Macaca fascicularis: one gene and its partner. The protein of the gene in region 2 interacts with the protein of the main gene of each other region in a pairwise test. Links are inferred from orthologs where the notes say so. Each region holds a gene or a part of one and is shown on either strand. Other genes may lie near its edges. The genes, in order: LRATD2 and UROD.

Region 1 (4,510 bases), on a different chromosome or scaffold from region 2:
AAGAAAAAAAAAATTACAGGATTACCACCAAAGCCTTGTTTTAAAAGGGCTCCCTTCACTATTCAGGAAAGGGAGTGGAAGGAGAGATTAACCAATTCCTGCCAGGGCAGTCCTTTTTGGCTGCTTCCACAATAGATACTTTATGGAGTGGCACAGCCAACCCTATCTGTGGCCTGCCCTGCGGATGAACACAGCCGAGCAGGTTTAATTAGATCAAAGACACAAAGGGCTATTCCCTCCTTTCATAACAACGCAGCTGTAAGTGCCTACAACAGCAGGGGAGAAACAAAGGCAGCAGAACAGAACCTTAATTGAAATCTTCTCCTGGCTGGCCCTTGACAATGATTTACTTGTAACCTAGGAAGGGGCAGGTGGAGCAGGAGGTAGCAGGAGCCTCAGCTAAGAGCCAGCTCCAGAAGACTAATTACTTGGGGGTTGTGGAGGAGGGAGGTAGCAAAGTCTTTGTAGCCCGAGTTTGCTTAACTATTTGTTAAACTTCATAGGAGACTGCTGTGGTTTTGGTCTGCTGCTCCCAGACCCTGTCATGGATTCACCAGCCCTGCGCTCCAGGAATCCCATAAAATAAATCACCCCAGCCCCGCTGGATCCCACATACAGCTCAGCTCCGCCAAAGGAGATAAGCAGCTTTTGTGCTGGTACCTCGGTGGCGACTCCACAAACCCACTCTGGCCTTTGTACCAGGATTCTTCCAAGCCCAGGATAGGAAGCAATGGCAGTAATGGGTGCTCCGGACTTTTCCCCAACCCCACGTGCTTAAGAATGGCCGATTATAAACCCAGATCTACCAAGGTTTAATAGCCAGGCAAGTCCACAGTTTGCCTCACCGCGGAGAGGAAGACACACTTAGGGGGGCAGAGAGAGACGCCCCCCACCCCCAACTAAAGCGTTTCCTACCTGCTCCCTCTGTCCCCTTCCTCCTCCCCTGTCCACAGCCGGCTGCGCATTTCACCAACTCTTTTCCAAAGGGCCCAGGAATCCCAGATGGGGCCCAGACGGTGGCAAAAGAGGGAGGAAGAGAGGGAGAAAGGGGGCAGCGGCTGCTACTGCAAACAGTTCCCCTTCGCAGCTCTGCGCTCAGCTCGCCCATCAGTGTGCCACCGCCTCTCCGTCCTCCTCCTCCGAGCTGGGCGCAGGGGGGCGCCGGGGAGGCGGCGTAGTCCGCGCCAGGTTGCCGTCGCCCTCCTCCGGCTCCGCTGGGTGCAGGTGCGTGGCGAGCTCCTGAAGCACGGCCGCGCGCCCGATCTGGTCGTTGCGTCGCTTCTCCATGATCAGGTCCTCTAGACTCTGGAACTCTAGCGTGTGGCTGCGCTGCGCCGACAGCTGAATCTGCAGCCGGTAGGGCTGCTTGCCTATGCGCAGTTCGCCGCCGATCTTGAACTCGCGCTTGCCGTAGCGGCACCAGGCGGCGAAACTCTCTGAGTTGCGCCAGCTCAGCTCGCGCTCCTTGGCGCCCACGTGCGCCAGAGCGTTGCGCACTACAGCGCTGGGGCTTAGCGGCTTGTAGCGGTACAGATCGTTGACCACGCGGCCGCGACGGCCCTGGCTGGCGTCAGTCAGGAAGCTGTTAATCACCTCCAGCCGGTGCAGGTGCACCACCTGGAAGTTACCCACATATACCGCCCAGTGCGGGTATTGAGCCTGCGACACGAACTCCACCAGGTCGCCCGGCTTGCACTTGTTGAGCAGGTTCTCAGGTGTGTAGGTACTCAGCACCGCCGAGCCCGGCGCGAAGCTCTTCTGGTAGATGCATTCATCCCGGTAGAACACGGAGCATTCCACTTCGTGCAGCCGCGGATCGTAGGGCTGCGGCTGGGGCGGCGGCGGCCCGTCCCCACCGTCGGGCAAGCCGCCGCCATCTGGCCCCTGAGGCGGCGGCTGCGGCTCCATGTCCTCATCGTCATTGGAGAAAATGTAGGAGACCCCAATGCGGGGCCCGTCGTCCCGGTCCACGCCAGTCGGGTCGGCCGTGGGAACTTCCTTGTAACTTAGGTGGGTCAATTTCTCCACCTGGTTGCCCATCACGCTGCGGACACACGTTCACACCGCCGCGAGGGGAGAAAGCGAAACCACCTCTAGGGTCATTTGCACAGGTCCCCGGACAGGGGCTGAAGCCACCTGTTGGGAGAGGAAGGCAAGAAAGCCATGTAGGAGCCCCTCCGTGAAAAGGGCGTTTTATTCCGAAAAAGAACCGGTGGGGGCTCAGCACCTGGAGCCATTTTAGGGGGAGTTTCGGGTGTAGCGAGCTTTCCCTCGTTTCTCCACCTCTAAGGTCACGGTCACAGGAGACTGGGCAACTCCAGTTCTCCCTGTCCCCAGCCCTTCGCCTAGCCCTGGCAAAACCCATTGCATCAGCAGCTTCTACAGCTTCCGCCTGCGCCCTACCTGCCAAGCTTGGACAGGAAGAGGGAAGGAAAGAGAAACTTTACTCCAATCCCCCCTCCTCTGCTAACTTCCCCTCCCACCCTCGGGCCCTAACTAGCCCCTGGGACGCCTCCTCCCCACCAACGCATCCATCCCCAGAGGAACAAGCGAGGATCTCAGAGCGCGACCTGGGCAGGTGAGTCACCCTACCTGGCTCACCTGCAGCGCTACCTCCTCCCGGCTCGCCCGCCCTTCCCCCGCGCCCGCCCTCAGGCTCGGGTTACCTGCGCAAACTCACCCGCGGAGAGGTAGAGGCCGTGGGGCCTGGGGAAGGGCTCCCTGCCGCGCCCCAAGACTTCTAGGACGAGTTTGAAGGTGTAGGCTCCGCAGTCCCTCTCCCGGCGCGGGCGGCAGCGAGGCTGGGCAGAGGGCAGCGCAGCGGGTAGACTGGGGGCATGTCTTTCCCCAGCGGCTGCGTAGCGCCCGGATACTTGAAGGCGGGGGGCAATCCCTGTTCACACCGCGCCTCCTCCCGCCAGCTGGGGCTGCTGCACCTCCTCAGCCAGCTCTCAGGGGAGGTGGGGCGCGCGGAAGGAGAAGACCGCAGCCTCGCAGCCGGGCGCCAACAGCTCCCGCTCGGGCCGGGCGAGCAACAAGCACCGGAGCGGGAGGGACGGGATTGTAGATCCGGCTCCCGGCTGCCGGGCGGGAGTGCAGCCCGTGGCATTTAAAGAGACAGGCGCTCACTCCCCGAGCTCGGGTCTTTTTCACATTGCGCCGAGCCGCCGGGATCCCCGCCCCCCGCCCCGCCCACTCAGGCCGCGGGGCTCCGCCTGGCCACGCCCCCACGCCGGAGCGGGTTTAAATCCCCCGGTAAATAATCCACCCGCTGGCTAGGGTTGGCGCTGTGAACTCCGCTTGCTTTCCGGGAGAAGTTAGAAGGCAAACACAACTTGCCAGTGTGGAAATTAGAAAGGGAAGGAGAGTTTGGTGTTTGCGTCTTTTCCCTTTCACCTCTTTTTTCCCAGAGTATCTGGAGACGGAGGAACAGTCGTTTCTTTTCTTTCCTGGAACATATTTCTTGCCCTAAAGGTCACAAGAAAGGATTCTTCACTAGGACAGCTCGAAGAGTGCTTTATTTTAAAGGTATTTTCAGAGTTAGTAGTGGGAAACTTTGGGGTAGAAAAGAAAATCACAGAAAGGAAACAGTATAACACAGAACGAAGACTTATTCACTGACTGGGTCCCAAGACCACCGCTCTATTTATTAGATGTCCCTGGAAGTTAGTACAAAGTTCATAACCTCTGGTATTTCCAGAGGGGTACCAGTTCGTTGGATGGTGAGAGAAAGCGTGCAGCTCTGACTGCTTTTTTTTTTTTTTTTTTTTTTTTTTTTGGTGGGGGGTGCGGTTAGGGGGATGTAGGAATTGCCTAATTGTCCTTAAATTAGAAACAAATTAGCAGAGGCCCCTGGTGCATATATTTCCTTCCTGTTGACTTAGGGAAGTGACAGGAGACCAGTACTGCCTACTAACCTCCACCACAAAAGGACACTTCCACCTCCCCACTGGTTTCGTTTCTTTTACCTAAATGTAGGCTACCAAAGTGGTTTTGTTGTTGTTGTTGTTTATATTTTTTAAATAATGGGTCGGGTGGGGGTGGAAGATTGACAGCTCTGTTTACAATAAACAAGTTTAGGCACAACTGCAAGCACCCAAACTTATCTGTGGGGGACTTAAAAATGCCATTCAAGACCTGAGCTCTGTCTTCCATTGCTTTCTTTTAACTAATTTTTTCCAGCGTGTATAACCAGCCAGTGGAAACAGGAATATACTAGCACTGCTGTGATCCTTTCCAGTTTGAGAGAAAAAAATAAAAATCAATCTACTTATGTAATTTTGAGTCCAAGCAATCAATATTGGCAGGGCTGTGATAGAAATTAGTCCTTCAGCAAGTCTGAGATCACAGTATAAGTTAGATCAACATGAGACTACTGTGTGCTGTGAGATTCTGTTTCAATAATTTCCGACTGGCTGGCCTCAGGCACGTGTGACCGAATGAGTCCACCACACCCCAGTCCTTTTGATAGCAAATGGTGTGGGGGCTGCTGTTATCTGAGTGATATTTG
Region 2 (4,379 bases):
AGGGAACTGCCCAGCCGCCTGTCCTACCCAGCCCAGGGCAAAGGGCACCGAACGCAATGCCAACTCAATACAGGGGAGGAAAGGGAAACAGCCAGAGGTTTCTCTGGCCCCGGGGGTCTTTTACCTGGTCCTGGGTGGGGAAGAGCTCACCTTTGTCAGCTTCACCCAGAGCCCGTGGCCGTTGCACAGCTCCTCGCCCGTGGTGCGCACGCAGGCGCCGCGCCGGAGCTCGATGCTGTCGCGGGCGGCGCGGAGGGGCCCGGAGCCGGTTCCGGGGGCTGGGCCTGCGGCGCCCACACGCAACCCCAGGCCCTCTGCCTCCCACACGGGCAGGAGCACGCGCGACGGTCCTGCCGGGTCCTTGTAAAGCTTGTAGAGCACCTCTTGCGGCACGAAAGCCAGCGCTGCCGGCAGCGGCCGCCCAGCGCGGAGGCTCCGCGCTGCCTCCGCCAAGAAGCGCACGCGGCCCAGCAGCTGCCGCGGGGACTCCAGCACCGCGCCCGGGCCAGGACCCGCCATGGCTAAGTGGCGGAGGTGAGCGCCTAAGGGCGATCCTACCCGGTGAACAGCTGGCGCGACCGCGGACGGAGCTTCCCACCACGCCCTGCCCCGCCTTTGGCCAGCCTTCGCCGTATGTTCTGGACTAAGCGCACCCAGCGCTCACCGTATTGCACTGTGTACTCCTACACTCAATCATATTACCTACCTCTGTGCCACCCTAACCCAGCCGACCAAACCCAAGATTGGTGATTTCTACCTGATCAATCTCCTTCTCTCCATTTCCTTGCTACTACCATTTTATCTCTACTGCTACTACCCTCATTCAATAACCGTTCTATCTGGCCTGGATCATTGCCAACATTTTTCTGGTTCTTCGGCCTGCTCTTTTTCCTCCCACTCCCAACGAATTTGCTGGACTCCCTATCCTATAGGTGGTGTGACTAAAATGTTTGAGACAATGGCTCCTTCCCCTGCCACTGACAGGAGTCTTGAGTCATTCGGGTTCTGTTTGTCACTCCTAATCCCAAGGACACTGGTAATCGTTATTCATTTTAATGTGATTACTGATTTCTGTTTTCCCAGTCTTATAGCTTCTTAAAGACCGGGGCTGTCTTGAGCAGAGCTAACCTCTACACCTACTGTAGGTCCAGGCTCTTAGTAGGTAATGTAAGTATATGACGATTTCAGTTTCCTGAGCAGCCTGGTTCCATCATCCTCAGTATGCCTGGCTGAATAAGACTATTAGAATCATGAGTGGGACTTGAGCCAAGCCTCCGGATACCCAGACCGTCAGATGAGAACAAATTCCTCATGTCACCGTAACATACAGTTACAGCGGAGTTCTCTTTTCAGCGTTTGTTGTTGCGTCGCTACAGCGGACTTTACGGTGAAAAAAGGTAGGGGTCCTACGGGCAGCAGCCAGGGCAGCCCTGGAGCTGTCGCGGGAGTCTGATCATGTGATCTTCAACATGGCGACGCCCTTGATTCCCTACAGAAAGGGGCGGAGCCTGGACGGGGTGGGGGCAGGCTCACATTCAGGTTAAGTTGCGAATTGAGCTCGCAGTTACAGACAGCTGACCATGGAAGCGAACGGGTTGGGGTGAGTTCTCCAGAGCACGCGGTGTGGCTAGTTGAGCTTCTGAGTCTTCCAACTCAGGACTCTATCCCTGTACTCCCCTTTCCCCACCTTGGAGATCTCTCAACCTGGACTCTGTTAGCTGGGATCCTGAATCCTAAAACCATGGATTTTTGAGACGTTCATCCCAGGGGCCTTAATTCAAGGGATGCCTCAGGATTTCCAACCAGGATCTCTATTCTGGGACCATCAACTCTCATCCCTCTTTATCCCCCAGCCTGGGGATCTCTCAGCCTCTGAACCAGCCCAGTGACATTCCCGTTTCTGAGACTCCGTAGTCCGAAGACCCCCAAACTATCCTTCCTGGGCCTTATTTCCTCCCCCTAGTCCCTCTAGTTGCTTCGAGCTTGGGAGAGTAGGGACTAAGTGGAGGGAAGAGGCCCCAGGGCGGGCCCTTCTAGAGTTTGTGCACCACCTGATAGGCAGAGAGGCGGCGGAACGGGCGGAAAGCCAGGGTTTGGGAGCTGGCCTGGAGGAGGTAGATAGCGGTCCTCGACTAAATCAGCCTTATGAATCCGCACTTTACCCAACCTCCAGCCTAGCATACTGACACCTACCCCTACCCCCACCTGATTGCCAGACCTCAGGGTTTTCCGGAGCTGAAGAATGACACATTCCTGCGAGCAGCCTGGGGAGAGGAAACAGACTACACTCCCGTTTGGTGCATGCGCCAGGCAGGCCGTTACTTACCAGGTAAGAGGCCCTGGAAATCTAGATAAAACTCCGGAAGGCGAAAAGTTTTCAAGGGGCAGGGGAGGGCTCTGGAGGGCCTCAAGGCTGAGCCCCGTCTTCCCTCTGTATGCAGAGTTTAGGGAAACCCGGGCTGCCCAGGACTTTTTCAGCACTTGTCGCTCTCCTGAGGCCTGCTGTGAACTGACTCTGCAGGTGAGGGGTGCACAAAAGAGGGAAAGATTTATGCCTTCAGTCTGCCACCTAGCAACCCGTCTCCTGTTTCCTACAGCCACTGCGTCGCTTCCCTCTGGATGCTGCCATCATTTTCTCCGACATCCTTGTTGTACCCCAGGTACCTACTCAAATCTGATCCTGGAATATAATCCAAGGACCCCTTGAAAATCCTTCTATCAGTCCAGTCAAGGTTTACAATAAGCACTTATCCTAACTGGATCGAGGGAAAAACTAAGGTTGAAAGAGATGGAGTTTGGCAGTTTTATTCTCCTTTTCCTTCCTTCTGGAATGAGCTGAACAGAACCTTTCCTCCTGGATTCCATTTTGGGAACCCAGATGTTTTCTCCCCCTCCAGGCACTGGGCATGGAGGTGACCATGGTACCTGGCAAAGGACCCAGCTTCCCAGAGCCACTAAGAGAAGAGCAGGACCTAGAACGCCTACGGGATCCAGCAGTGGTAGCCTCTGAGCTAGGCTATGTGTTCCAAGCCATCACCCTTACCCGACAACGACTGGCTGGACGTGTGCCGCTGATTGGCTTTGCTGGTGCCCCAGTAATGTGGGACAGGGCAGGGACTGGCGGCGTGGGAAAATCACTCTGGCAGGTCTGGGGTAGACAAAGGAAGGGTCAGTCTGGCTTCTGTACATGTGACACCATCTTTCTATCCTTCTGTAGTGGACCCTGATGACATACATGGTTGAGGGTGGTGGCTCAAGCACCATGGCTCAGGCCAAGCGCTGGCTCTATCAGAGACCTCAGGCTAGTCACCAGCTGCTTCGCATCCTCACTGATGCTCTGGTCCCATATCTGGTAGGACAAGTGGCGGCTGGTGCCCAGGTGAGTCCTGAGAGAGAGAGAAATAGGCTGAGATTTGGTCTGTAAGGACGAGAAGCAAGTGTCCTAAACCTGAGAGGGCAGGGGTCTTAATGCCAGGGATGAAAGAACCTTGGCCTCCAGTGATCTAGCTGAGCAGCCAAGCCCATCCTGACACTGGCAGTGGGGCTTAATGCTCTGAGTATTCAGAGACCAAAGCTAGTGCTGGGATCTGGAGAAAGTAAAACTTTTTTTTTTTTAATTACTGGATTTATAGGGTCAGGCAGTATCAGGGATTGAAGTCATTTGGGGAAAATTGAGGTGGATTTTGTATGTGGGGGGAGCTTCCTCTTTGTTACATATTTGTCTTCACCATACCCTAACTAGGCATTGCAGCTGTTTGAGTCCCATGCAGGGCATCTTGGCCCACAGCTCTTCAACAAGTTTGCACTGCCCTACATCCGTGATGTGGCCAAGCGAGTGAAGGCCAGGTTGCGGGAGGCAGGCCTGGCACCAGTGCCCATGGTGAGGATTGGGATGGGTTGAGTGAAGGTGGGCCTGTGGAGCTTTCAGGCTAAGTCCTGCATGGACTGGAGTGACCACTGGAGGGCAGCAGAAGTACAGTCAAGAAAGATTAGCAAGGCCCTCTGTAGCCTAAGATCTGCTTTTTTTCCAGATCATCTTTGCTAAGGATGGGCATTTTGCCCTGGAGGAGCTGTCCCAGGCTGGCTATGAGGTGGTTGGGCTTGACTGGACAGTGGCCCCAAAGAAAGCCCGGTAAGCTATGGAAGGGTGAGGCCTTGAGGTTGAGGTGGGGGTGTGGAGCTGCCACGTATGCGGTTACCAGAACGTGGCGCTGGCTTTGCTTCCAGGGAGTGTGTGGGGAAGACGGTGACATTGCAGGGCAACCTGGACCCCTGTGCCCTGTATGCATCAGAGGTAACAGACAGGGCCCCTCTGTGTATCTGTTACGGTGCACTCCTGTGGCTGTGGTTGTATTATTCTGTGTGCTTTTCTTTTTTAA

Evidence for each region.
Region 1: the proteins of UROD (region 2) and LRATD2 interact in binary tests that used the Homo sapiens proteins (3 or more experiments, as listed by UniProt). The two-hybrid records come from large-scale screens. The link is inferred for Macaca fascicularis from reciprocal best matches to the Homo sapiens genes UROD and LRATD2.

What each region holds. Positions count from the first base shown.
Region 1 is NC_088382.1:136,230,626-136,235,135, forward strand, and holds the start of LRATD2 (protein LRATD2), read right to left. Parts: upstream 3,041-4,510; 5' UTR 2,681-3,040; intron 2,579-2,680; exon of another isoform or gene 2,397-2,578; intron 2,137-2,396; 5' UTR 2,041-2,136; coding exon 1,108-2,040; 3' UTR 1-1,107.
Region 2 is NC_088375.1:189,720,869-189,725,247, reverse strand, and holds the start of UROD (uroporphyrinogen decarboxylase), read left to right. Parts: upstream 1-1,514; 5' UTR 1,515-1,580; coding exon 1,581-1,600; intron 1,601-2,173; exon of another isoform or gene 2,174-2,216; coding exon 2,217-2,329; intron 2,330-2,441; coding exon 2,442-2,521; intron 2,522-2,597; coding exon 2,598-2,660; intron 2,661-2,878; coding exon of another isoform or gene 2,879-2,897; coding exon 2,898-3,095; intron 3,096-3,217; coding exon 3,218-3,379; intron 3,380-3,742; coding exon 3,743-3,880; intron 3,881-4,031; coding exon 4,032-4,132; intron 4,133-4,227; coding exon 4,228-4,294; intron 4,295-4,379. Other genes in the region: E3 ubiquitin-protein ligase HECTD3, read right to left, coding at 151-519. UniProt on the Homo sapiens protein: Catalyzes the sequential decarboxylation of the four acetate side chains of uroporphyrinogen to form coproporphyrinogen and participates in the fifth step in the heme biosynthetic pathway.